Linked DNA regions of Arabidopsis thaliana. The main gene of each other region encodes a partner of the protein of the gene in region 3 in a complex. Each region holds a gene or a part of one and is shown on either strand. Other genes may lie near its edges.

Region 1 (5,845 bases), on a different chromosome or scaffold from region 3:
AATTTCTGAAGTTTGGGAGATTTTGCAGTATTGGGAATTTCACCATAGAGAGTTGTTAAAATGACTCTGTCTCTCTCATCTTCACTAGCCTGAGAAGAGTCCCAATCTTTCCCAACCTCTTCAACTTTCCTTCTAGCGTTTCGTCGAACACTTCGTTGGTGCTTTAAGTCAGCCTTCCTTGTTTCTTCCTCCTCAGATCTCTTTTGGGAAAATGGTGAAAACCAATTATCCGTTTTGATATGCAAAAGCTTAAAACTTGGATGATTCCGAAGATAAAACACAGAGCATGCGATTAACGGAGAAGAGTAAAGGACGAAATAAAAAAGGCGTGGAAGAAAAATGTATAGGAGGAAGATAATTGCAGAAACACCAGAAACAACTGGGTGATTCCTTACGTTTCTATAAACGATGTTCGTGGAAAATCTGAGAATTTTCCAGAACAGAGTTCCGACATCTTTGGCATCGATTCCCATGTTTTAAACAGTTCAAATTCTCAGAACACTTTGAGAGATAATAACCCAAAGCATTCTGTCTATGGCGGTTTGTGTTTTGTCCTAGAGAATCAAAATGCTTGAAAGGGAAAAACAAATATGGTTTAATTGAAGAAGCGAAAATTGATCAATAAGAGAGAGGTCAAGCTTTCATTTGAAACAATAACCAGTCAATAAAAAATAGATTTTTCAAGGGTTTTTTTAGATTTTCGTTTTGGTTCTTTTTCAGTTTTCAGAACACACGGTAAGGACGGAGAAGACAAAATAGAAAACTGGTAAGAGAGGGCGGGAGTTAAATTAGTTGCTTTCTTACACATGTTTCCAAAGATTCTTGTTTTCTTACACTTTTAACCACATTTTTTACTGGTTCAGAAATTGACCCTTAAAGTTCATGGATTTTGCATCTCATATCTCTTTCTTCAAAAGATTGGGCTATCTTCTTAAGCCCACCAAGACCCATCAAATGTCTGTAAATAACATACACTATTGACACTTCCTAAGTTTTCTAGCTAATCCTTTTTTTTAGCAAGTTGTTAACAGATTTGTGTGAGACTATTCATGATTTTCAAAACCAAGATGAACATCAACGCTTAAAGCTTATAATAGCCACTCTTTCTTGTTAACTTGATGACTAAAGTCAATCTTTGTTGCTCAATCTTAACTGATACACACACAATCAACGTTACTCATGATATCTAATTTCACTCCTTACTCCTTCATTGAGAGTTGGACACAAAATCAGTATGACAAGAAATTGAGGATGATCTCTTAAGAAAAACTCTAAAAGTAAATACACATTTCTCTTGTTGTGACACAAAAAGGAAAGAGAAGACCTCATCAAGGAGAGTGAGAAGATGTACTCAAGATTAAACTCATAATTAAGCCACACTTGAAGCAATTGGAACTACGGGTGCTACTCATTCTTAAGCTTCCTCTGACCCTTCATAACACAAACAAATAATTACTTTTCCATATTAACACATCATATTTCTACCTCTTCAAGAAATTAAAACCAGACAAAAACGATCAAACACAACATTCAAAACATCAAATTTCGACAACAAGCCAGTTCCTTTCAAGAAAACACTAACCTTCCGTCTCATCTTCATCGTCATCTTCTTCCTCCACCGCATCAACACCGTACCTCGCATTCAAGAACTCCACAGCCGCAGGAGTCAGAACAAGCTTATCAGCGTTCAAAATATCAAACAGATTCAGTGTCCTAGGCGTCAACATCCTCAAGGTTCCAATGTTCCTACTCGATTTCGCCACATTCTCATCCACATCAATCATCAAGAACATAGCTTTCTCCTTGGGATCCAATCCCCACCTTTGCATCGCAGCTAAGAAATCTTTAGTCTTGGGCTTCTCAAACTTCTCCCCAAATTCCTCCACCACTATCGCACCACCTTCCGCAGATGCCGCACTCGATAACGCCGTAGATATCGCTAGCTTCTTCTCCTTCCTATTGATTTTAATTGACCAATCCTTAGGTCTTGGCCCAAACACCACACCTCCACCGGGACGTAACGGTGTTCTCTGAGATCCACGCCTCGCGTGGCCAGTTTTCTTCTGTGAGTAAGGTTTAATTCCACCACCACGAACTTCACCGCGAGTCAGTGTGGAAGCAGTACCTCGCCGCTTGTTATTCAGGTCCGTCACGATGGCTCGGTGCACAACGGCACGCGCGGTATCCTCCGGCGCCGCTTTGAGGTCTAGATACGTCTCTCCGACCTTCTCTCCTTCGAATGATAGAATCGGTAGAGTCGCTAGCTGGGAAGAGACAGAAAGCGGCTTCGAGACTCTGCCGGAGCCGAGTTTTGAAACGGAAATGTAGGTTTTAGGGATTTGGTGAGAGGAGGATAAAAAGAGAGAAGATGAGAAGAAAGATAGCGAATTTGGTGCTGTTGCAGAAGAAGCCATTGTTGTTCCCTGACCTGACCTATCACAACGAAGAAGAAGAAGAAAGACTGAGAAAGTGTTATCCACTCTTCAAATGCCTATCTTGTGCTTGGTGAGAATTTATGCATCTGTTTGGACATAAGGATATAACTATCCTGTTCATGAATAACTCCAGCTGTCGCTAGTAAGAAAGAGTCAAACTCCAAAAGTCAAAAGCCTCTTATATAGCCAGCAGGTTTTTTGAGACATAAAACTCTGTGATAAAACGATGATAGTTGATGATAGCTGAGACTTTGATACAGATATTTGAGATACGAGCGCACGTTAGCTAAGACCACCGCGTAAGCCACCGTCTCGTCTTGAAACGCACCGTATTCATGACTTCGTCGGAGCCACTCGACCTGGTTGTCACCGTCGTCTCTGCCAAGCACCTGAAGAATGTCAACTGGCGTAACGGTGACCTGAAACCCTACGTTGTTCTGTATCTTGACCAAGACCACCCTCTCTCCACCCGCTCCGATGATTCCTCCTCCATCAAACCGGTGTGGAACGAGCGGATTACTCTTCCTCTCACCCGATCTGTCCACGAATCGGTCCTCAACATCGAGGTTTTTCATTCCAATTCTTCGGATCTGGCGAAAACCCTCGTCGGATCGGTTAGGTTTCCTCTAGCTCGTTTGATTGACTCGGACGGGTCAATGATTCCGGAATTGATCAACTCGCTCGAGCTGGTTCGTCCATCGGGTCGACCACAGGGGAAGATTCGTTTGAAGCTCGCGATCAAAGACAGACCAATCCCTCCACCGCAGCATCCTCCGCCACGTCCTCAATCTCAACCACTAGATTACTATTCTGCCCCTCAAGGAAACCATTATTACTCCCCTAGCCCTCCTCCTCCTCCTCCTCCTCAAGCACCGATCACCGCTCCATCTCCTCAGCGTGACTACAGAGAATTCTCACAGTCACCGTCTCCGTCTCCTTACGCATTCACTGATCACTACTATTCCGGGTATTATTATCCGCCTCCTCCACCACGTTCAATGTACGATCGTGCCTCCAATTACGGCCTCCCAAGTGGCCCATCTGCTCCCGTTGATGCCTTCTCATCGATTGATCACAAGCAGCCTCCTTTAGCTCCTCCTCGGTTTTCTAACTACGGTCCACCGCCTAGTGGGCCCTCAGCACCCGTTGATGCCTTTCTGGTTACCGAGTACAAGCCACAAGCTCCACCTATGGGCTCGCGATTGTCTAGCTACGGAGTGCCTAATGGTCCATCGGCACCAGTCGATTACTCTCCTTATGATCACAGGCAGTTGCAGAAGACGATGGGTGGATTGAGCTTAGAGGAAGAGAGAGCTGCTGCAGAGAGGTCTGAGAGTGATTTCGGAGCTAGGCCAAACTACAGCTATGGCCGTGATTATCGCCGTGAATGTTGAGGATGGCAAAAAGTTGTTGAATTTCACAAGTGTGCGGCGTTTCTAAGGCTTTACTTATCATCAGATTTGTTGGTGTTAGAACACCAGGAAATGGCTGATGACAAAATATGAATTTGGTGAAGTATATGTTATGTCTATATGTATGTCTCGTTTGTGAATTGATTTGTTGCTTCTTTCTAGCTGATATTCGGTGTTACCCCTTCTGTACCTTTGTACATGTTTCTAAAACATCTCTCATTTCTTTCCTTCATTCAGTTTCTTGAATCAAGCTATTGGGTTCTTAGGGTTAATGTTCTAATGTGAATCACTTTACTGTTGATTTATTGTTTGAACCATGCTCTGATTAGGTATGGTAGTATGCTCTGTCTCAGACATGAACAGTCCTATATCCTGCGATTCTGCCGAATATTTTTGCAGGCTGGTTAAAGACTTTGGTTCTTATTTCATGTTTGATGATACCAATGTGTGATTTTCGTTTGGAACCAGTGATCTCCATATTCATTGAGCGTTTGGATTAATGTGTCTTGAATCATGCTCATCACAGTGCAGAAAAGATGTTCTCTCTGATCGTTTTGGGTAAAATGGTATGTACACGGTTGGTGCTAAGTCTATTGTGCTCTTGTTATAACGATGAGACAGAGCAGTTTTGCTATTGCATTCTTTTCCCTTTTGGCATTTTGGTAACCTGCTATACATATCAGTCAATCTCATGCTATTTGCATCTAATCACTGACAATCATGCAGGTATTATTGTTCTGTTCTCAATGGAATGTTTTCACATGTAAAATCACTCTATTCTCCAGATTGTGTGATCTTCTATTTATGTCCTGACACTCCCTGGTTTATTATATGCTTTCTCATATTCTTGTACCCACCATTAACTTGTTTTTTTGTTCTTTCCTTGATCCCTCCTTTTTATTGTAGCCGCAGACTCATGAAAGGAATCTGCATCCATAAAGGTAAGATTATATTGGCCTCTCCTGGAGTCAAAAAGAAACTTTTTTAGATTGTTATGTAACTTATGTGCACACATGAGTGATCATCAAAGAAGAATGATACCAAATGGTTGCTTAACCTTTTTCTTCACTTAAACAAAGGGTTTATTCCCTCTGTGGACCGTAAAGAAAAATAGAAAAAACTAAACCTAGTCTTCTCTTTTTGCTCTTGGGCATAGTTCTCTTTATAAATTTGTAGATCCACTTTAACTACAAGTCTTTTTATATATAGGGTCTAAAATAAGATTGAAGTTACACTTTTTTGTTAGTTGTTTATTTGTTTATGTCTTGAGTGCTTAATCATGGCCTAAGCGTAATGATGTTATAGATAATATACATCATTAATCATTTCATGTCTTTTCCCGTATTTGCCTGAACTATCAGCACAACTGTTCTCAGCACCAGTCCGTTAAATATCTCTCATTATCCTCATATTGTTTCCCATAAACTTCTCTCACTCTCTCTATCTTTCTCTTGATATGTCAGCTACTGGTATAAAACGGTCCAACCTCAACACTAGACCGGTTCAGAGAGATGCTTCGGCTAAGCAAACAGCTATCAAGGGACCTTATGGTAAGAGTCCGGGATGCACAACAAGCTGCGGATTAAGGTTACCGAGGAAAACAGAAGTGACAGCAGCAAAATTGATCAAGCATCTTGGATGCAAATTTGCAAAAGGTTTGCGTCTGGTGGTGATGAGGAAGAAGAAAAGATCTCCACCGTCGAAGGTTTCTTCTTTTTCTGGGAGGTCTCAGCCACCAATCATCCCAATAAACAATGACAGTCATCGATCAGAGGCCATAGAAGACTGCATACAGTTCATCAACTCATCATCCTCCTTCACCAGATCAAACTCTACTTCTTAAGTGTTATCATTCCCAAACCTTTTGTCTCGGTCGCTCGCTCGCTCGCGTATTGTCTATTTTACTTATTCGTGAGAGTTGCATGTAAATAATGTCTACATAAATCTATTATGTGACTTCTGTTGTTGTAGTACGAGTAACTGTCTTCCATCTTTCTC
Region 2 (6,005 bases), on a different chromosome or scaffold from region 3:
CGTTTTTTTCTCAGAATTCTAATCTCAATTATGTAAATATCTTACAATATAATCTCTATTATAATAGGTAATCATGAGTTTTAGTTTTGTCAAAACTTTTTAGCATGAAAAACTTCTGAGCCCAACCAATTTTTAAAATTTTTAATTTCAATCTCAAGTGTCAAATTCGCCGAAACCTAGAAAACATTTAATGCATTTCTCGTCGATGAACAGTGTACGTACAAATCCGGTTCTCTTGGATTCCAACGACGCGGTCCGTACGTACAAACCGGGTTCAGTTTCGTCAGGGGCATTTTGATCAGTTTTTGGCTGAATGGCTAAGAAATGAAAGGCCCAGCCCACAATGTCAAAATCTAAAATTAAAAGTGAGTCAACGGCTACTGTGCGCAATTTACCCTTTTTTTTAAACATCTTTTTAGGTGACTTTCACATCATGTGTCAGATAACTCTTATTTATAATGTAAATTTGAAATAATAATATTATTATATATTAGAAACTATCATATGAATATATAGACTATATATAATTTCCAACGGTTATGAGAAACCGTTTTCTCTTAAAATGCAATCCCCAAGGACAAGTTTGTTGGCGTGTCGGGATAACCAACAATCTGTTGGATTTGATCACTTTTGGATAATCTGTTTTTGGTGGGTTTTCTTTTCTCTTCATTCGATGGAATGTGTGTCACTAGTCTGGTTGCACTTTTCATCAGTTTTAAAGTGCATTTTGGTGGTTGGATAAGTTTGGAAAAATTACAGATATTTTCCATGTAATATGATGGATAGAATTCACTATATAAAAAAAAAAAAAATCGCGTGTTTGGACTTTAGCTGAGTTTAGTTGTGTTTTGCTCAATGTAAACATATATCAACCATTTCACGAACATCAATATGCAATAGAAATGGAATTCTCATGCCATCTCGTCCTAAGATCCTACTCACGGCTTTTACTAGCTACTAGCTAGTCCATCACATCATACACCTTTTAAACATAATAACGTATGTGAATTATGTTATGACCGGAGACTTTCCTTCCTATGAAGAGTTTGATGAGTAGAGGAGTGACACGGATCGAATATTTGATAAATAGCTCATTCATCTAGATAGGTTTAAAACTTTAGACTATTACATTGTAGACAAAAAAAAAAAAAAAAAAAAAAAAGGATACAGAGGCCTTTTATCGGCCCACCTTAAAAAAAGAGAGCTACAGAGGCCTTTTATAGACCCACTTTAAAAAACAAAGATATATGAATTTGAGATAAGAAACCTTATTTCAAACAAGAGAATAGTTTATTTTGTCCCACATCGTTTAGGTAGAGATAGTGATGGTAGTAACATGCCTATAAAAAAGAAAGAGCTAATTACGTAAAAGGCATGATCCTTCAGGCAAGTTAAAGGGGATATGATGAATGGTAAAAACTCGCTTATATTGCGAGAAGAGCGTTCCGCCCAAAGCCTGTTACGACTATTGGGCGCTCTCTTTTTTACACAATCTGATCCCTCCCTAATTTCCAATAAGAAGGAACTTTTCTTTTTTAGTTTTGGTTTCATTTTTCTTAACTAGTTTGTTTTTGGTGCAGTTTTCTTTTTAAGGGGAATATAATTTAGGGTTAGTACTTAAAAGTAATTGTTAGGTTGAAATAAAACTAGTAAATGAAAGTAAAATCCTTCAGGGATTGAACCCCAAACTATATACATCAACTTTCAGCAACCATTAACACTACTTGGAATCTGAACAATTCTTACACACCAGAATTATCCTGGTGGCCAGAAGAGATCTTTAAGTAATTATGGCTTTGAAGTTGAGACTTCGAGTAGTAACAAATTCAATGAAGCAAGTAGTATAGTAGTACATGTGATGAATTCCAAGAACATTGATTTATAAACGAATCAAGGATGCAAGAGAGTTAAAACGCAGAAAAGAGCTCAACGAACCATGTTTCTCATTGTATCTTCTGGTGGAAAAAAAGCACATGAAACAAGATTACAGATAGAGTGAAGAGAGAAACAAACTTCAAGCCCGTTTGCCGCTGCTAGGGTTGGACTTGGGACAGAGGTTCCAACGTCCCTTGGCACGTCGACGCTTTATGGTTGCTCTACCGCTAGTGGTCCTCATCCTTCTACGGAAACCATGAGTCCTAGCTAGAGATTTTCTTGATCTGCTTCTCTTAGTTTGACACAGAGCAGCTTTTCCAGCTCTAACCACAAGGCCTCTGCGTCTCTGGCCATTCAGTCCACTAGTTTGACTGCTGAGATCAAACGCAATGGACAAACCTGAAAAGACAGCAACACCATTTTGATCAATGTGACATTATAGGTTTGATAGTGTATCAAGCTGATAATATTGGAACCGGTAAACTCCTTCCTTTAATTACCCAAAGAACTCACCATACAATACCAAACTCTCAACACACTGCTCAGAATCAAGACCCAGACAAATCCAAAATGACTTTAATGCATTCTCCTAGGTTACCCTTTTAACTCTTGAGCTATAACCATAACGTCTGTTGCTAAATTGGCAAAGCTTATAATTCACTGCTCAAATCTTAGCCTAGCTACAATGGTCGTACAATATACTTTACAAGAAAATTATGATCAAAGGAGGAGGAACAAGTTCATGTGACATATTGAAGCAAATCTATAACCATTGTACCTAAATAATCGACATGAGCTAAAAGATTTTTGTACTAAAAATCAAACAACATTTACTTGCGGCTACAAATACATGAGCTAAGATATCAGAAATTGAGGCTTAAGTTGCAAAATGTTATCTTCACTTGTTGTTATAAACTTAACAAGAAATATCAGAAACAAACAAAATGGCTTCTTTCACTCACACTCCCAAATCGAATTCACCATTGACAACTATGTTTCACAATTCCCAAATTCTTCTAAAAAAGCTTCGAATATATGTGTTTGCAAAGTAAGCTAGAGCCTAACACACGAGAATAGTGATAAATCAACCAAACCCAAAGAACCAGAAAAAAAAATCAAAATTGGGTAAAAGAACTTGATACATTACATCACCAGAAGCTAAACACAAACAATAATTCGAACCAATTTAAGATGTACCAGAAAATGGAGACGCTAGGGAAACAGGCGACGAGAGAAACGAGCAATGAAGCAATTGCGAAGAAGCGGAAGAAGTGAGAGAGGACGAACTCCGTCTACAACCCGTACGCAGAGAAAGCGAAGCAGAAGGAACGCAAATCTTGCCGTTGGAGGCAGCAGGATTCCATAAACGCGACGAAGCCGAAGCTACAACGGAAGTGGATAAGGAAGCCATTCAAGTTCCCACTTCTTATCTCCAAACCCAGTTCCTTTGTTTCTCCGGTCTCCTTTACATAGTGTGGAACCTCTATCGTCTACGGACGATACCACCATAAACTTACGCATAAGAACCAACCATAATAATACACGTATCACGACACTTCAGCCCATAAGACTATAAAAGCCCAATACTGAATTGGACCGGACGGGTAATTAATCAAGTTAAGGCCAGATTTGAACTGGTCTAAAATATCTCATGCTGTTGTTCTGTGATACAATTTTGCTTCATGTAAACTGTTAAAAACAGGCACTCTATATAACAGGTAACGAGAAGAACCACAAAATGTTTGTAATCTAGAGGATATTTTCTACAACTTATCCAACATTCATCAAGGGTTTTTTTTTGGGGGGTAACACAAGTATGCCATGAGTCTCTCTATCTATCTTTTGAACATCTTGGACCACATGTAGAGGATAAAGAAGAGGAGGAGCGCGAAAAGAACTACGTGCATTATGTGGTTGTTACCACTACGGATTATGCTTAGGTTCAGTTTCCTTATGTTGTTCTTCACCCCTGCTTGCGCTCTGATCAATGTCATTTGCTGTCACAAACAAAAACAAAATACCATTGAAGCGTTTTATGTTTCAGACAAGAACAACATTTCGTCTACTTATTTTATTTTGCTTATAACAGCACTAAATGCTTGTTTCTGCAGTCTCACTACCAAATCTAGTTGTTTGTCATTATCTTCTCTAGGATGTTCTTCTAGGTAACAAAAGAAAAAACTAGAACGAACTAAAAGCAATGAACACATTCAACACCAACATTCTCATTGACAAAGTGGCAGGAACTCAATGATAAGCTGTAACCATTTCCTGCTGCATTTCACCAAACTAGGTGAGATTGAAGATATCTAATCCTACCCACCACCAGCGTTCAGACCAGATCCTAAGTAAACATAATCTACACTTTGGATTTATCAAGATTCATTGGTTTTGTAAGCTACGGTTAAAGTTATCTAACATATGTTAGGATGAAACTATATTTTCCCAACTAATAATGAACAGAGACATCTGAAACAAGTTATAGGAAACCGATATTCGGATATACTATATATAATCAGTGATTCATCTTAAAGGTAAAGAAGAGTAAATGAATGCATGTTACTGATGTTAAGTGCTTACATTGCAATTTACTATGATGGATAAAGAAAAAACTAAAGGGACATCAACAACATACCAGTTCATCTAAGAAGTCCCTCTGAGACTTTGCTTCTGACCCAATTTCTTGAGCAATCTGCATCAAAATAAGCGATCAACGATATAACAAAAAATCATGAGGGATAAATAATGCGCAAAAGTGCAAGGTAAAACACAAGGAATTGTAGAGAATGTCGACTGATTCCTTCAAGAAGGGTGGTGATATAAAACAATAACCACAGATGTATACAAAAGACATCAGACAAGTGGATTCAACTAATTAATCGTGGACTGACTGATAAGTATTGTGAACAATAACATTATCATAGTACCCTGAACAAAAAAACACCTACACAACTAATTAACCAAGCTCTAACCACTGTCAAAACCGAAAAGAAGACAAATTTCCAAATTCATATGATCAACTTAAAGCTTAAAGAGAACAATGATCCTTCAGAACCACAAGAAGACAATACAAATGGCACTATAGATAAAAAGTAGAAAGATCGAAATGGGATTTAGAGGGTTTCTTACATTTTTCAATTGCCTGACTTGGCCATGGAGACCTAGAATCTCATCATCCAGGTCAGAGTGCATAGGATCAATCCTCAGCTGAATTTCCTCTGAACCTGAAGCATTTCTAGTGCTTAGCCCTTCTCTACAAATCACACACCAAAGATAAATACTTGTACTTTACGCAGAATTCACCAAATCTAGGACCCGTTTTCTCTATCCAGAATCGATTTCAGAAAAGGAGAAACTGATAATATTAGAAATATACCTAGATCTATACGGATCAGCTCCGCCGTATAGAGAACCACCCGCACCGCGATTGGACGCCATCGACGCGAAATCTAATGGGTGTAAGAAACCCTAAATTCGAATCTGCTGGGGTTTGAGAAATTAAGTTTTGTATTCTCTCAGAAAATTCGAGATCGAGAAATTGCAACCAAAAGAAGAGAACAAATTTCAGGCAAATCAAAGAGAAAAACGACGACGATTGAAACAAGCTGGGCGGGTGCTCTTCGATTCAATGATAAATGACCGCGAGGGAACACGTGGCGTTTTAATATTGGTTGATTATCGTCATGTTTTTGAGTTATGTAAACAAATAAAGAATGGCAGTTTTGAAATATTCGTCAGCCAATATTTTTTGGTTTATGGGCTTTTTTAACGGGCCGATCCCAACTTTAGTGGACCACAAATTCATTCGTTCATAATGATGTCATTGAAAAAGAGAGGTATTTACTCTGTTCGTTCTACATTCGTTGTATTGTAAGCATCAACGATACCCAATTACACAAGAAAAATGTTGTTTTTTCATGATGGTGTTGTTATTTTCTAATTGTTGTTAACGAAGAGTAAAGATAATAGAATCGTGTTTGCATTGTAGTCGTTAGTTTATCCATCGGTATTTATTTTTAATTTTTTAGTCTTTTTTTAATATATTAATTTTTAGTGATTGTTAACCAACTGTTTTATAAACGTTAACGATATGTAGGCTAAATTTTCTGAATTAGCAACAATGTAACAAG
Region 3 (5,054 bases):
TTTTCTATGGTCCAACTTGGAGTCCAATTTTCTAGTGTAATCGTCGCGAGGCATGCAAATCACACGTGTCATGATATTTGTGACAATAACAAGGAGTTGAGGATTAATGTAGTTCATAATGTTGCTATTATAGTTAATATTCGATGAAAAGTAGTCAGCATAAAGTATTAATAGAAAAAAACCATAACTATCAAAGTGAGTGAGATTGTGTTGCAATGGTGTTCGTATAATGGTTGAATTAATCACCAACTTAGGTCATTCATTGCTTTCCCGAAAAAACAATACTACTTAATAATTTTTTACGGCCATCAAAATCTGGACATTGCCTAATGTTTTAGGCCTAAAAAGAAATTGATTATTTATATATTATGTATGGTTATATATCAGTTATCAAATATGGACATGTGATTGATAAAATTAATAAAACTAGGATTCGAAAAAATTGAAAATGGAGAAAACTCCAAACCTGAAGGTCGATTGATGTGATTAAGAAGTATTTTGGCTGAGTAGACCACTTTGCAACGCAATCTCAACCGATCACGACTTTTCAAACATAGTCGTCATATCCACATTCTTATGATTTGCTTGTAATTTTTATATTGCATCGTTAAAGAATACACATGAGAATTTAATAAATGATGCAAACAAAAATTAAAGATCATTAATTTGATAAAATTTTGGACCGCCATCTTTTATTTTTTAGTGAAAAAACCGCCGGCTACTTTGTATTCATCATGATTTGAGATAGTTGAAAATACGTTATAAGTCTTTATTCCAATATTCATGACAAGTAGTTATTCCTTTTGTATTCTTAGGAGTTATGTCATTTACTCTATATTGACACAACGTTACTTTGTAGTCAGATAAATATTTATGCAACGTAACCGATATTTCTATTGAAAACTGTTAACATTTTTTAACATGAAATTATTATACATTTCTATTAAATAATAATCGATCGTTTTTCATAAAGGAAAAGCTTGTTTTACGTATCTTTTAAAATTTTCTAGATAATATATAAATATTTCCGACCAAGATCAATTTCCTTTAATTAAGGTCCGAAATAAAAATATTGATAAACAAAAAAAGTATCCAAAAGATTCCTGGTATATTCATTTAGCTGGCATGGCTAGTGCAGTACAAAATACAAACTCTAATTCCAAGAAAACAAAATAACGCAATAATGCAAAGTGCAAACGGACGAGAGCAATCGATTCATATATGGTTCTCTTCTCGATGTAATGCAATCACATGACTAAAACTGGCTCAAATTAGGCCTTTATACAAGACACTTACCTGTAAATAGACTAATATTTGTTTATATAAAACCATCAAATAATATTGTAAACAAATATATATATATATATGTATGTATGTGTTATATATATGTATGTATGTGTTATATCGTGTATAACTATTTAATTTGTTTAATTCACTTGTTCGATTGTATCTTCTTCTTAAACTTAAATCATCTTTTGGTTATATGTGTGTGTCTAATAACTATGTAATCTTTCTTTCAATTCTAATAAAATAAAACAAGATGTTAAAAAAAAAAAAACTATTTAACTATCCATGGTTGATGACTCGTACTTAAGACAAATAATCAAATTTCGTGATTCTAAAAATGAATGAAATTGATTGATATATAAGTGGGATTAGAAAAAAAAGAGTCAGATAAGTGTTATCTCGCGGTTATAATTTCAACGGTGCTAAGATAAGGATAAGGTTTGCGAAACTATATACTAATGCAACAATGGGTACCGTAGGTTTGTGATACCTAATTTGATCTAACCAACAGAATCTCTTCGTACTAGTGTAATCGAGTGGCTGAGCTGTTGATATAGAGATACGTAGTACTATTATTGTAAATAAAGAACCCAAAGAATCAAATTTGTCGACAACAAAATAAGGGGTGATAATCCGATGCACGTGGATTTGGTGAATGTATTGGATAATGCTAGTCACGTAGAAGAAAGTAATCTTATTTTGGGCCATAATTTTAGTAAATGTTTTTGAGTCTACGTAAAGAAGAGTAATTTTCATGGCAATCGCAATTTTCGCTGACAATTGATTATTTTGATATAATGTGAAATTGGTTAGGTTGGTGATAGTAGCTAGTTTGAAGCCTAACTTAGGCTTGTTATTGAGGTATAATACATTATTAACCATAAGTATTAGACAGGTTTTGGACAAATATATTTATTGGTCGCTTTGGCAGCATTGAAAAACCCTAAAAGCCACTAGAATGGATGTCTTCGAATGTCAGTTCACATAAATGTTCGCTAGCTTAATTTTATTTTCTTTTTTAAAAGAGAGGAAGCAATGATAACATAAACATTTTTATAGTGTTTTTTTTGAAACAAAAAGTTAGTTTTCTTCCTCAAATTCGATAACTAAATTACACCATAAATGAGAATATGTTTTTAGTTAAGTAGTTAAATCCATTTGATTCTACCTTTTTTACCAGAGTTTGACTCTACTAAGTCGTGTTACTTCGCATAATAAGGATTGACTATGAATCGTGTCTTGTTTATAAAAAAAAGAAAAAAAAAATTACACAACAAAGTTAAGAAAATTCAAATTTATTAATTTAATAAGCATACTTTGAATATAAATAAATCCTAAAACTCAAACTAATAAAAAAAGTATTTTTTTGTGTAGTATTAAAAGATGCAGAATCCGAAATAATGTATTTTATTGTAGAAGTGATTCAAAAGACCTTATCTCGTAGTCACTTGTAGCATTATTGGTTTAAGGTTAAAGAAAACATTTAAAACTCTGTATACATCATACATGACATCTTTACAAATTGCAAAATATACATTTTTAATCAGCTACTCTATTCTTAAATTCCTTTAATTAACGAGGTTATACAGTTCGATACGTTTAAGCAACAAAAAGTTCGATGCCACTAATAATTTAATTTTTGTTCTCTTCTTATCTTATAGATTGTTGCAGCCTGCAGGCTTGCAGCATAACGAGTTACATAACTATATACAAAGGCCCAATAGACACCTCAAAGGCCCAATAAAAAAGCCCAGGAAAAACGAAAACGAAGATATGAAGTTCTTCTCTAATCCGAAGCAAGAGGCTCAAACTCACTTTCACTTGCACAAAGATAAGGAAACCATGTCTGTGTCAGCGATCTTTGGTACCGGAATCGTCACCGTTGCTGCTTCTCCGGTTCTCCGCCAATTTCAAGTTCCAAAATTGGGTAATGGAGGAGGATTAGGGATGGTGATAGAGTGTTCGTCGAGGCCACAGAAGAAATCGACGGCTCATCACAGGAAGACGAGGCCGAAGAAGACTCAGCCTTGGGACATTAAGAGAAAGCCTACTGTTTACGCTCCTCTTCCTCCTCTTCCGGCGGAATGGAGTCCGTTCACTCTCGCTTCTGACGACGGTGGTGCTGCCACTGCTGCGGGAGATTTGGTTTCAGGCGCTGCCTAGTTGGTATGAGTTATCTGCTGATTTGGTTGTAATCTAGTTTGAGAACTTTTGTTGTTGTTTACTGTGTTTTCAGTTTTCTGATGTTTGTTGTTGGGTTTGTTTGTGTTTGATTGGTGAATGAATGGACCAAATTTGCGATTTATAAAGCTTCAACCTTTCTCCTCTGTTTTTGAGTTTAAAGGTCTCAACTTTATAGTTTATAGCTCTCGTCATTGTCATCTATGTTGCTTCTCTATAATTGCTTTTTTCCTTTTGGGTCTCATTAATTTCTGCAAGTAGTAATTGAATTGGGATGACAAGAGTTTAAGTTTGATATGTGAAAATGAAAGCACAATGGTATCTGTTTTGTGGCGGTTGATGCTGGAGTTGTTGTCAAATGCTCTGTTTGCTGCCATAGCAATGGGAATGTAGCTTCTAAAGAGTACGGTATAGTATACCGCATTATTGGAATTTTAAAATTTCCCTTTAGATTGGATTCAGGTGAAACGGCAATGTGCTCTGCTCACCATAGTGCAACACTTGGTCTAAACACTCTATTGTAGATTTTTAAGCCAAGTGATCTAAAGTGTGTTTGATGAAGAGTTTCAGCAAAAACATTTTTAGAAATGTTTATATCAGTTATGGGTTGATCACTCTGATTCTTGAATCTATCTTGTATCGGTCTAGTCCCAGGAGAAATTTAGAAGATCGATTTATCTTGCATTGCATGTTTATGGAGTCAATTCCAAGATCAACATCAATGGCTATACATTTCATAAAGCACGCATACAGAGTACATCCCGTTGAACCCATTAAACCCTGACACCTTAAAAGCTTAAGTCAAATCATCTGGAGAAATACACAATGAAGATACAAATACAGAGAGTTCGAAAGAATAAATAGTGTGAAAACAGAGGCAATCTATGAGTTTAACACAAAAGAGTGGAACCAAAACCAGTTTTTTGGGAAGAATGAGCTTCACTTGGGATGTTAGTGCTAGAGTTTTCAATGTAAGTCTGCCACTGGCCCTTTGGAGATTCATTACCTTTTGCTTGATCCTTGAAACAACCATTAGCACTTGGAGTTTTGTTGATTTTTACTTTACCTTTTACATCATCATTCCTTGGGGATGGAACTCTGTTCTCTTCAGGTTCAAACACAAAACTGAAACCGGATTTCAAAACTTCAAGCGTAGCTTCCCCACCAGTACCAGTTCTCACACTAAACTCAAGGGATGCTTTGGTCGGAGCACATTTAGGACCACCTTGGCCTTTAACAAGTTTTATGAAGTCTAAGCAGTTGGTGTAGCCAATAAAGACATGATCTGATTCAACTGTTTCTTCTTGGTTGTCTTGTTCAATCAAACTTCCAACCTTCCAAGTAATGCTGCTGGAAGAGCCCTCTCCGTTATTTTGCTCACAAGAGAACTTGACTATCAAGTTGGCATGACTTTTACAGTTCTTGAATGAGACAACAACACATAGGGCTATCCCAGAAAGCCTATTGTGATTCCAGTGAGGAGGTAATTCAAACTCCACCATAGATCCAATTGCATCGTGACTAAACCATGAAGGCATTTCACATCCAGGAAAGCTAGTGCAGAACAAAATCTCAGGAACACAACT
Region 4 (6,453 bases), on a different chromosome or scaffold from region 3:
ACAGAGCCGAAAAAATCGTTGTGGAACTGTTCGAATGAGACAACGACGTTTTCAGAATTATAAGACATGTTCTCACTTTTACGGGTTTGTAATCGGTGAGAGATGAGGACTGGATTGGCTTGTCCTACTAGCTCCATCAAGTGAAGGACGTAAGTAGCTACAGGGTTTTCTCTTGAGGGACAAGTAGCTTCAAGGAGATTGATCATCGGACGGATATCGTCTGTTTTGTAGATACACGATAGAATCCTGAGCTCGGAGTTTGGTTTCATGTGAAGCATGTTCCGCTTCTCGTATCCTGCGTACATCCTCGAAGGATCATAAATGCGTTTTAAGAGCGGAGGTATGACTGCAGAGTTCAACAAGATGTACAAAGATAAAACCGTAAAGGTCACCGGCCGAATAGTCTGCAATCAAAATGAATACTAAGCTCAGTTTCTGAGTGTATCAAAATGTGTTAGATACATTTTGAAGGAAATATGTCAAATACATTTACTTACCCCTCTTTGATACGCATAACCGTAAGCACCGAACTCGAAAATGCCTTTGAATGACATAATTAGAGACAGAGCAATGCAATCCTTTGCTGGCATACCGTATAAGAAGGCAGGGAGAGTCGTGAGAGCGAATTTGACAATAAACGATACAGACACTAGGATGACAATACTCTTGAGATCTATCCAAGACTGTAAAATCGAAGTATCGATCTCTTCCGCGGAGGTAGCCACAAAGAAAGGAAGGAATGTGCCGAAAACCACAGACTCAAACTTCTGAAGTATTGCAGAGCCTAGAGGTGGACCGTGTGGAACAGCTAAGCCTAAGATAAAAGGTCCTATGAAAATAGATTGCTTGCACCAATCGGCAAGAATGGCTGATCCAAAGACAAGAATGATGATTGCATATATATAGAATTTCTTTACGGGACGACCAGAAGGTGTTCTCTTGATAATGAAGAACATTAATGGTCTGAATATGTATATGGCAAAACAAACAAACAAGACCACTGTGCCCGCACGCTTCATAGGACGGTTTCCAACAATAACATCTCCGATAAAAACTGATCCAAGCCGAGATTTATCGTCCTTGAGTTCCTTTAGAAAGACTAGAACCGCAGAGAGGATCGAGGTGCTGAAGTCACTGATCACTGCAGAAGACATAGCGAGACGGCCAAGCTCTGAATTCTGGAGCCTAAGCTCAAAAAGAAGGTTTCCAATTACAGGAAACGACGAAAGGCATTGGATCAAATAGATGAAAATGATTTCAAAGAAACTCATAACCGGTTCTCCCTTTTTCGTCCCTACATCTCTTAGGATCAAGAAGAAGATCAAGGCGCAAACCGTTATAGAGAGTAACACTGAGGAAAGACCGATAGCTACAGCTTTTCTCCCGGTGCTGCGGATCAAACTCAAGTCCATTTTAACTCCCATCAAGAACCAAAACATCATGTAGGAACATGCACCCACTAAACCAAACAGAGTCTCTTTATAGTCTTCCGTCGAGAGGAATTTCCTAGCCGGTGTATTCTCCTTAAGAAACGACTTGCTCAAGAGAATCCCAGTCTGGCAAAACCACACAGAATATCAAACATAAGCAATGCAAACAAAGAGGAAGAGAGATTTGAAGATTCAAGAATTGAGTAAAGTTCTTACAAGCATATGGGAGGTGAAACGAATCATGCCGAGACGTCTGAGGAAGAAATGGAAGAATTGCCAGAGAATAGTGACGATAAGGAAAATGATCTGAACATGTGGAAACATGTAATTCCAGAACTCAATGTTTGCTTGAGGATCTGGGAGCTTCGGGGAGGGCCATAGCCCGCTCGAGCTCGGGTTAATAGGCAAGATACCGCAGATCATGTTTGCATCTCTCCATGTATCTCTCAGGTAAGGGATCCTATCACCATTAAACTCCATTGGACAAAACTTGTTAACAAGAACAAAGATGATAGAAACAAGAGAATCATATGATTATAAAAACCGAATCAAGAGCTATAACTGTCTTAAACAAAAAAGGTTTTGGTAACAGAATTGAAGAGAAGCAGTGAAACAAAAAAACATCTGGGTTTTGTCATTAAACAACAACTCTCTAAAAATAGTCAATCTTGTGGGAACAAGAGACGGCGACATAGTTTTTCAGATTTCTGGTTATTTGTTAGTTTTTTAAACAGCTTGTTAGTGTTAATTTAAGCATTCTCATCACTTCAACAGACAAATGAATACAATATAACTTCAAGTAAATATCATAACTTGCAAGAGAATATTATACTTTTAGCGTTTCCAGATTCCAAAAATAGCAAAAATACAAATGCATCAAACAATCTAAAGGAAAAACTTCACAACCTTCAATCCTCACCACAAGAGGCTACTCTCTTTTCCCTCTCTATACGTTCCTGCAAGTTCAAAACACCAAACACAGTGCGATGGACAATTAGCATCTGCGTTTGCGGCTAGACCTTAAAACGCAAAACTCCGTTCAACAGCCAATATTCCCGACCAATGTTTATATGCCGATGTTCAGAGTTCAGAACATCGGTTTAACTACTTATTTCATGCCAATTAAGACACGAACTAAGACAAAACTAATACTTAGTTTCATTTATGGTTAAAAGCCACATGATCATGGAAAATCAAGAAATACCTTGGGATGCAGTAGGAGTCTTGAATCGTTGAAGGTTTAGTTAGCGAAAACATTGATCTTAACTCGAGCAGTGACATCGGGGTGAAGCTTGAGTTCGGCTATGTATTCTCCGGTTTCACGGATTTCTGGGAGAGAGACAAGGCGTTTGTCGATGTCCCTGCAAAACACAGCCACAGAGAAGCAGATAAAACCATATTAGGTTCTTCGAACAACACTAAAAACCAAATGTAGACTGATCCAACTAAACCGCCCACATGAGAAAGCTTGTAGCTTTTTATGTGGAAATGTAAAATTTTCTATGTTGTTACTTTTGGAGCTGTGATTTGATGATGTCGACGAGGTCTTGAGCTGTGACACTGCAGGAAAATATAAAGTTAAGTACAGGCTAAACACTATTCTCAAGACTGTTAAAATCTAGATTTGCTTAAGTAGGACTTACGATCCAAATATCAGTTTGCCTTTACCGCCTTTGCGTTTAACCTTGAAAGCACCAACGGTTTGGAATACCATCGCCAGTTGTTGTGCCTCTTCTTTCACCTGCAAAAAAGGTTCCACGCAAAGAAAAAACCAACAAACAGATGAAAATCAATAACCAAAGAGTTTTTTGGTGATCACTCAAACACCAAAACTTTACATGATGATCAAATAAAAACAATCAATGTATTCATATCAGATTACCCTTTGCTTCTCTGCCTCAATCCGTTCGTCTTCCATCTTCAATTCCCTGGGGGAAAAACACACACACAAAAAGAAAGAAAATGATGTTTTTCTTGTTGATCTTACAACATTGTAGCAAAGTCCCTCGAAATACAAAGGCCTTAGAACCGAATAGTAAGAGCATACAAAAGCGAACGGAAATTTCGAAGTTGAGGTGAATTACTTGAGCAGAAGTGGAGTCATAAGCTGAGCCTTTCCAGTAGGCAAGAGGAAGTTTCTGAAAAATCCAGCTTTCACATCAAGTAATTGCCCTTGCTTACCCAAATCCGTCACATCCTCTTTCAAAATTACCTTAAAGACACAAAACAAGATTTACCATTAGTGTTTCACTTACTCCATTTCTCTACACAGAAACAAAGCTTCAAACCAATTTATCTTCACTACTTGAAACTAAACTGGTAATATAAAGGCGTCTACTTTTCTAATGTTGATTCATCTTTCTTCCTAACTACGCTGATACAAGAACAAAGACGATGTTTTTACACTAAACCCATAAATTAAGCATCTTCAAGTCTTTTACTTTCATCTCCACCAAAATTCTTCAGAAACACAAGCTCAAATCAAAAACTAACTAAAAGCCAAATCAAATTTTTGAAGGAAACCCATGAAAGGTAATGACTTTTACCTTGCGAAGTTTCTTAGCTTTCTTCTGGGAAACAACTTCAAAATTGAACCTTCGCTCAGATACTTTTAGGGTTTCATTTGCACCGCCATTGAAGCTGTGTGACCAACAAGGAGAGGAGCTCCATGAGAGAGACAAAGCTGTCGAAGAAGCCATAGCCAAAGCTGATTTCACTTCAAAGCAGAGATAACAAGAGCGCACAGTTGTAGTAATTGTTATCTTCTTATCGGCTTTTCGTGTGCTTGCTCAAGTGAAGTGACGAATGTTTTTCTTATGTTTCGAATTTGACCCCGTAATTATTCTACTTTTCTGTTTTCTTACTTAAAAGTTTTATAAAGTTCAATTGAGTACCCAAAATTTAACGGTTAAATCGGTTTTATAGTGCTAAAAGTTCCTCTGGATTTTGATTTACAATGTTTGTACTTTGTATGATGATTATACATATACACAACAAATCTACTCGATTTCAGAATGTACATAATCTCTAAACACAAAGTTCTTCTCTTGTTCATGTAAAGCATATGCAGAAGCAGCTGATATCAGTGATAAACCAGCAAGAACCAGTCGAATCTGAACATCAGAAGGAACACCAGCCGTGGCGGCCCAGAAAACCGTCGCGCCAACGAGAAACTTCTTGAGGATTTGGAAACTGTTGTAAGCTCCTTTGCAGGAAGAGCATACTTGTGTATGCTGATCAAATCTATCTAGCATCTGTTTGTTCAAATTTGTCACGTTTTCAGACATGTGTTTGTATATATATAGAGATCAATCAAATGATGTTAGGATGCATGATTGATGGCTCACCTGACGCTTGGTTAAGACAGTGGAAGGGAGAGGTTGGTTAGACGGGGTGGAGCCGAACCATTCAGGCTGACTCTTACCATGCCGTCTGAGCCAGTTTCTGAATGCTAGAACAAAACGGTCTGCCTGGGTTGGAGTGAATGTGAGCTTTGTGTACTGTTTGTTCACGTCGTAGTCTGGTGACTCCATTGATTTAGCGAGGAATACTTTCTCTTGTCCTTGAAGTACGATCATGTCTCCGTCATAGACTAAGTTCGAAGTCCAGTGTTCATACCATCTTGGTACAACCTAACAAGGAACAGCTTCAGAAGAATTTACGTAGTAAAATCGGATTAGAGATGGAATCAAAGTTTGTTTTACCTGCCACCAAGCTGGTCCTGGTACAGAGAACTGAAAGAAGTTACGGGCGCTGCAAACGATGGAACGGGTCTTTCCTGGAGCCATTGGTATATTGAATGAGCAAATCCAAATGACCCATTTTTGATTACCGACGATTGGTAGTTTCGCATCTAACTCAATTCTGTAGACAAGGATACACAATTTCATTCTATGCAACTGTATGCTAACCATTTATTATGTATAGTGAGCAAACTCAACACTCACTTGTTCATAGAATAGCACGGAGCAACAAATTTTGCGGTTATCCTTGGACTGTCATCATTCGCACCTTGGAAACCCCAAGGCCCACTTGACTCCACCTTGAACGGCAATGGTTTGGCTCTGTCTCTTCTTCCTGTAACCTGTTTACAACACGTAATCATCGCCTGAGGATAATATCCCTTAGTGGAAATGCAAACACATTGGGAGCTTTGAGAAAGAAAACAACACCTTGTGATGAGCAAAATCTATATGGGAAGGATCAGATACATTTTCCATGAGAGTATCATATCCATAGAAAAGATCCCTTTGAATTGTCACCGTCGAAAATTCCGGTTTATCGAAATCATCCGGCAACCTTTTATGTTAAAGATCAACGCATTTAATAAAACGAGTAATAAAACGAGTATGCTATGTTCATGGAAGCCTGAGAAGATAATCATTTTCGTTACCTAGGGGGTTCAATTGAATTGGCTCTATCCCAACCATTTTCATCAGGCCACACAAAGAGAAGACCTTGAGACACCATTGTCGGGAACTTAATAGCACAAGCTCTCGGGGATTTAACAGCACGAGCTTCAGGACCTGAAGTAGCAGCCTGAGGAATCCTAGTGCAAGATCCACACCCACCAAATGACCATCCATGATACGAACATTGCAAGTGTCCATTCTCATCCAACCTTCCTTCCTACATAACCACAATGCATCAACACATACACAAACACATCAATGAGTCAAGCTCAAAACTTTGGTTACATACACAACAAAGTTTACTTCTTTTTGCTCATAAGTCATAACAATAACAACAACACAAAACTGTTCTGATTCTGACCCTAATATTTTATTCTTTGAAGCTTTTAACCTAATTGATATACTTTAAAAATCAAAACTTTACAATAAACAATCATCTACAATAATTTATTCTTCTAATCCAAATCCAAATCACAGTTATAAACTACTTGAACTGTTTCTTCCAAGAGAGAGAGATTACAGATAAAGGAGCGAGCCGGTGAGGGCAGAGATCATCAAAGGCTGCCCATTTCTGATCATTCCGATCAAACCAGAGTACAAGGTCTCGACCC

What was found.
Region 1: PSRP6 (region 3) and RPL4 share a complex: the UniProt entries of both Arabidopsis thaliana proteins name them as parts of the 50S ribosomal subunit.
Region 2: PSRP6 (region 3) and AT1G29070 share a complex: the UniProt entries of both Arabidopsis thaliana proteins name them as parts of the 50S ribosomal subunit.
Region 4: PSRP6 (region 3) and RPL9 share a complex: the UniProt entries of both Arabidopsis thaliana proteins name them as parts of the 50S ribosomal subunit.

The regions. Positions count from the first base shown.
Region 1 is NC_003070.9:2,245,759-2,251,603, reverse strand, and holds RPL4 (ribosomal protein L4), read right to left. Parts: upstream 2,638-5,845; 5' UTR 2,415-2,637; coding exon 1,583-2,414; coding exon of another isoform or gene 1,578-1,582; exon of another isoform or gene 1,432-1,577; coding exon 1,415-1,431; 3' UTR 1,075-1,414; downstream 1-1,074. Other genes in the region: AT1G07330 (dentin sialophosphoprotein), read right to left, coding at 1-473; AT1G07310 (Calcium-dependent lipid-binding (CaLB domain) family protein), read left to right, coding at 2,771-3,829; AT1G07300 (josephin protein-like protein), read left to right, coding at 4,599-4,788, 5,311-5,690. UniProt on the Arabidopsis thaliana protein: This protein binds directly and specifically to 23S rRNA. May play a role in plastid transcriptional regulation.
Region 2 is NC_003070.9:10,147,165-10,153,169, reverse strand, and holds AT1G29070 (Ribosomal protein L34), read right to left. Parts: upstream 3,380-6,005; 5' UTR 3,287-3,379; coding exon 3,073-3,286; intron 2,275-3,072; coding exon 2,015-2,274; 3' UTR 1,763-2,014; downstream 1-1,762. Other genes in the region: AT1G29060 (Target SNARE coiled-coil domain protein), read right to left, coding at 3,711-3,872, 4,511-4,567, 5,005-5,128, 5,252-5,313. UniProt on the Arabidopsis thaliana protein: This protein binds directly to 23S ribosomal RNA.
Region 3 is NC_003076.8:5,904,688-5,909,741, forward strand, and holds PSRP6 (plastid-specific 50S ribosomal protein 6), read left to right. Parts: upstream 1-2,901; 5' UTR 2,902-3,060; coding exon 3,061-3,450; 3' UTR 3,451-3,777; downstream 3,778-5,054. Other genes in the region: CSA1 (disease resistance protein (TIR-NBS-LRR class)), read right to left, coding at 4,187-4,248, 4,385-5,054.
Region 4 is NC_003074.8:16,384,181-16,390,633, reverse strand, and holds RPL9 (ribosomal protein L9), read right to left. Parts: upstream 4,240-6,453; 5' UTR 4,130-4,239; coding exon 3,977-4,129; intron 3,643-3,976; coding exon 3,515-3,642; intron 3,359-3,514; coding exon 3,313-3,358; intron 3,172-3,312; coding exon 3,074-3,171; intron 2,991-3,073; coding exon 2,943-2,990; intron 2,792-2,942; coding exon 2,671-2,791; 3' UTR 2,635-2,670; intron 2,387-2,634; 3' UTR 1,911-2,386; downstream 1-1,910. Other genes in the region: CHX4 (cation/H+ exchanger 4), read right to left, coding at 1-404, 498-1,556, 1,647-1,910; ACD1 (Pheophorbide a oxygenase family protein with Rieske 2Fe-2S domain-containing protein), read right to left, coding at 4,430-4,684, 4,778-5,062, 5,135-5,294, 5,378-5,514, 5,603-5,729, 5,824-6,059, 6,363-6,453. UniProt on the Arabidopsis thaliana protein: Binds to the 23S rRNA.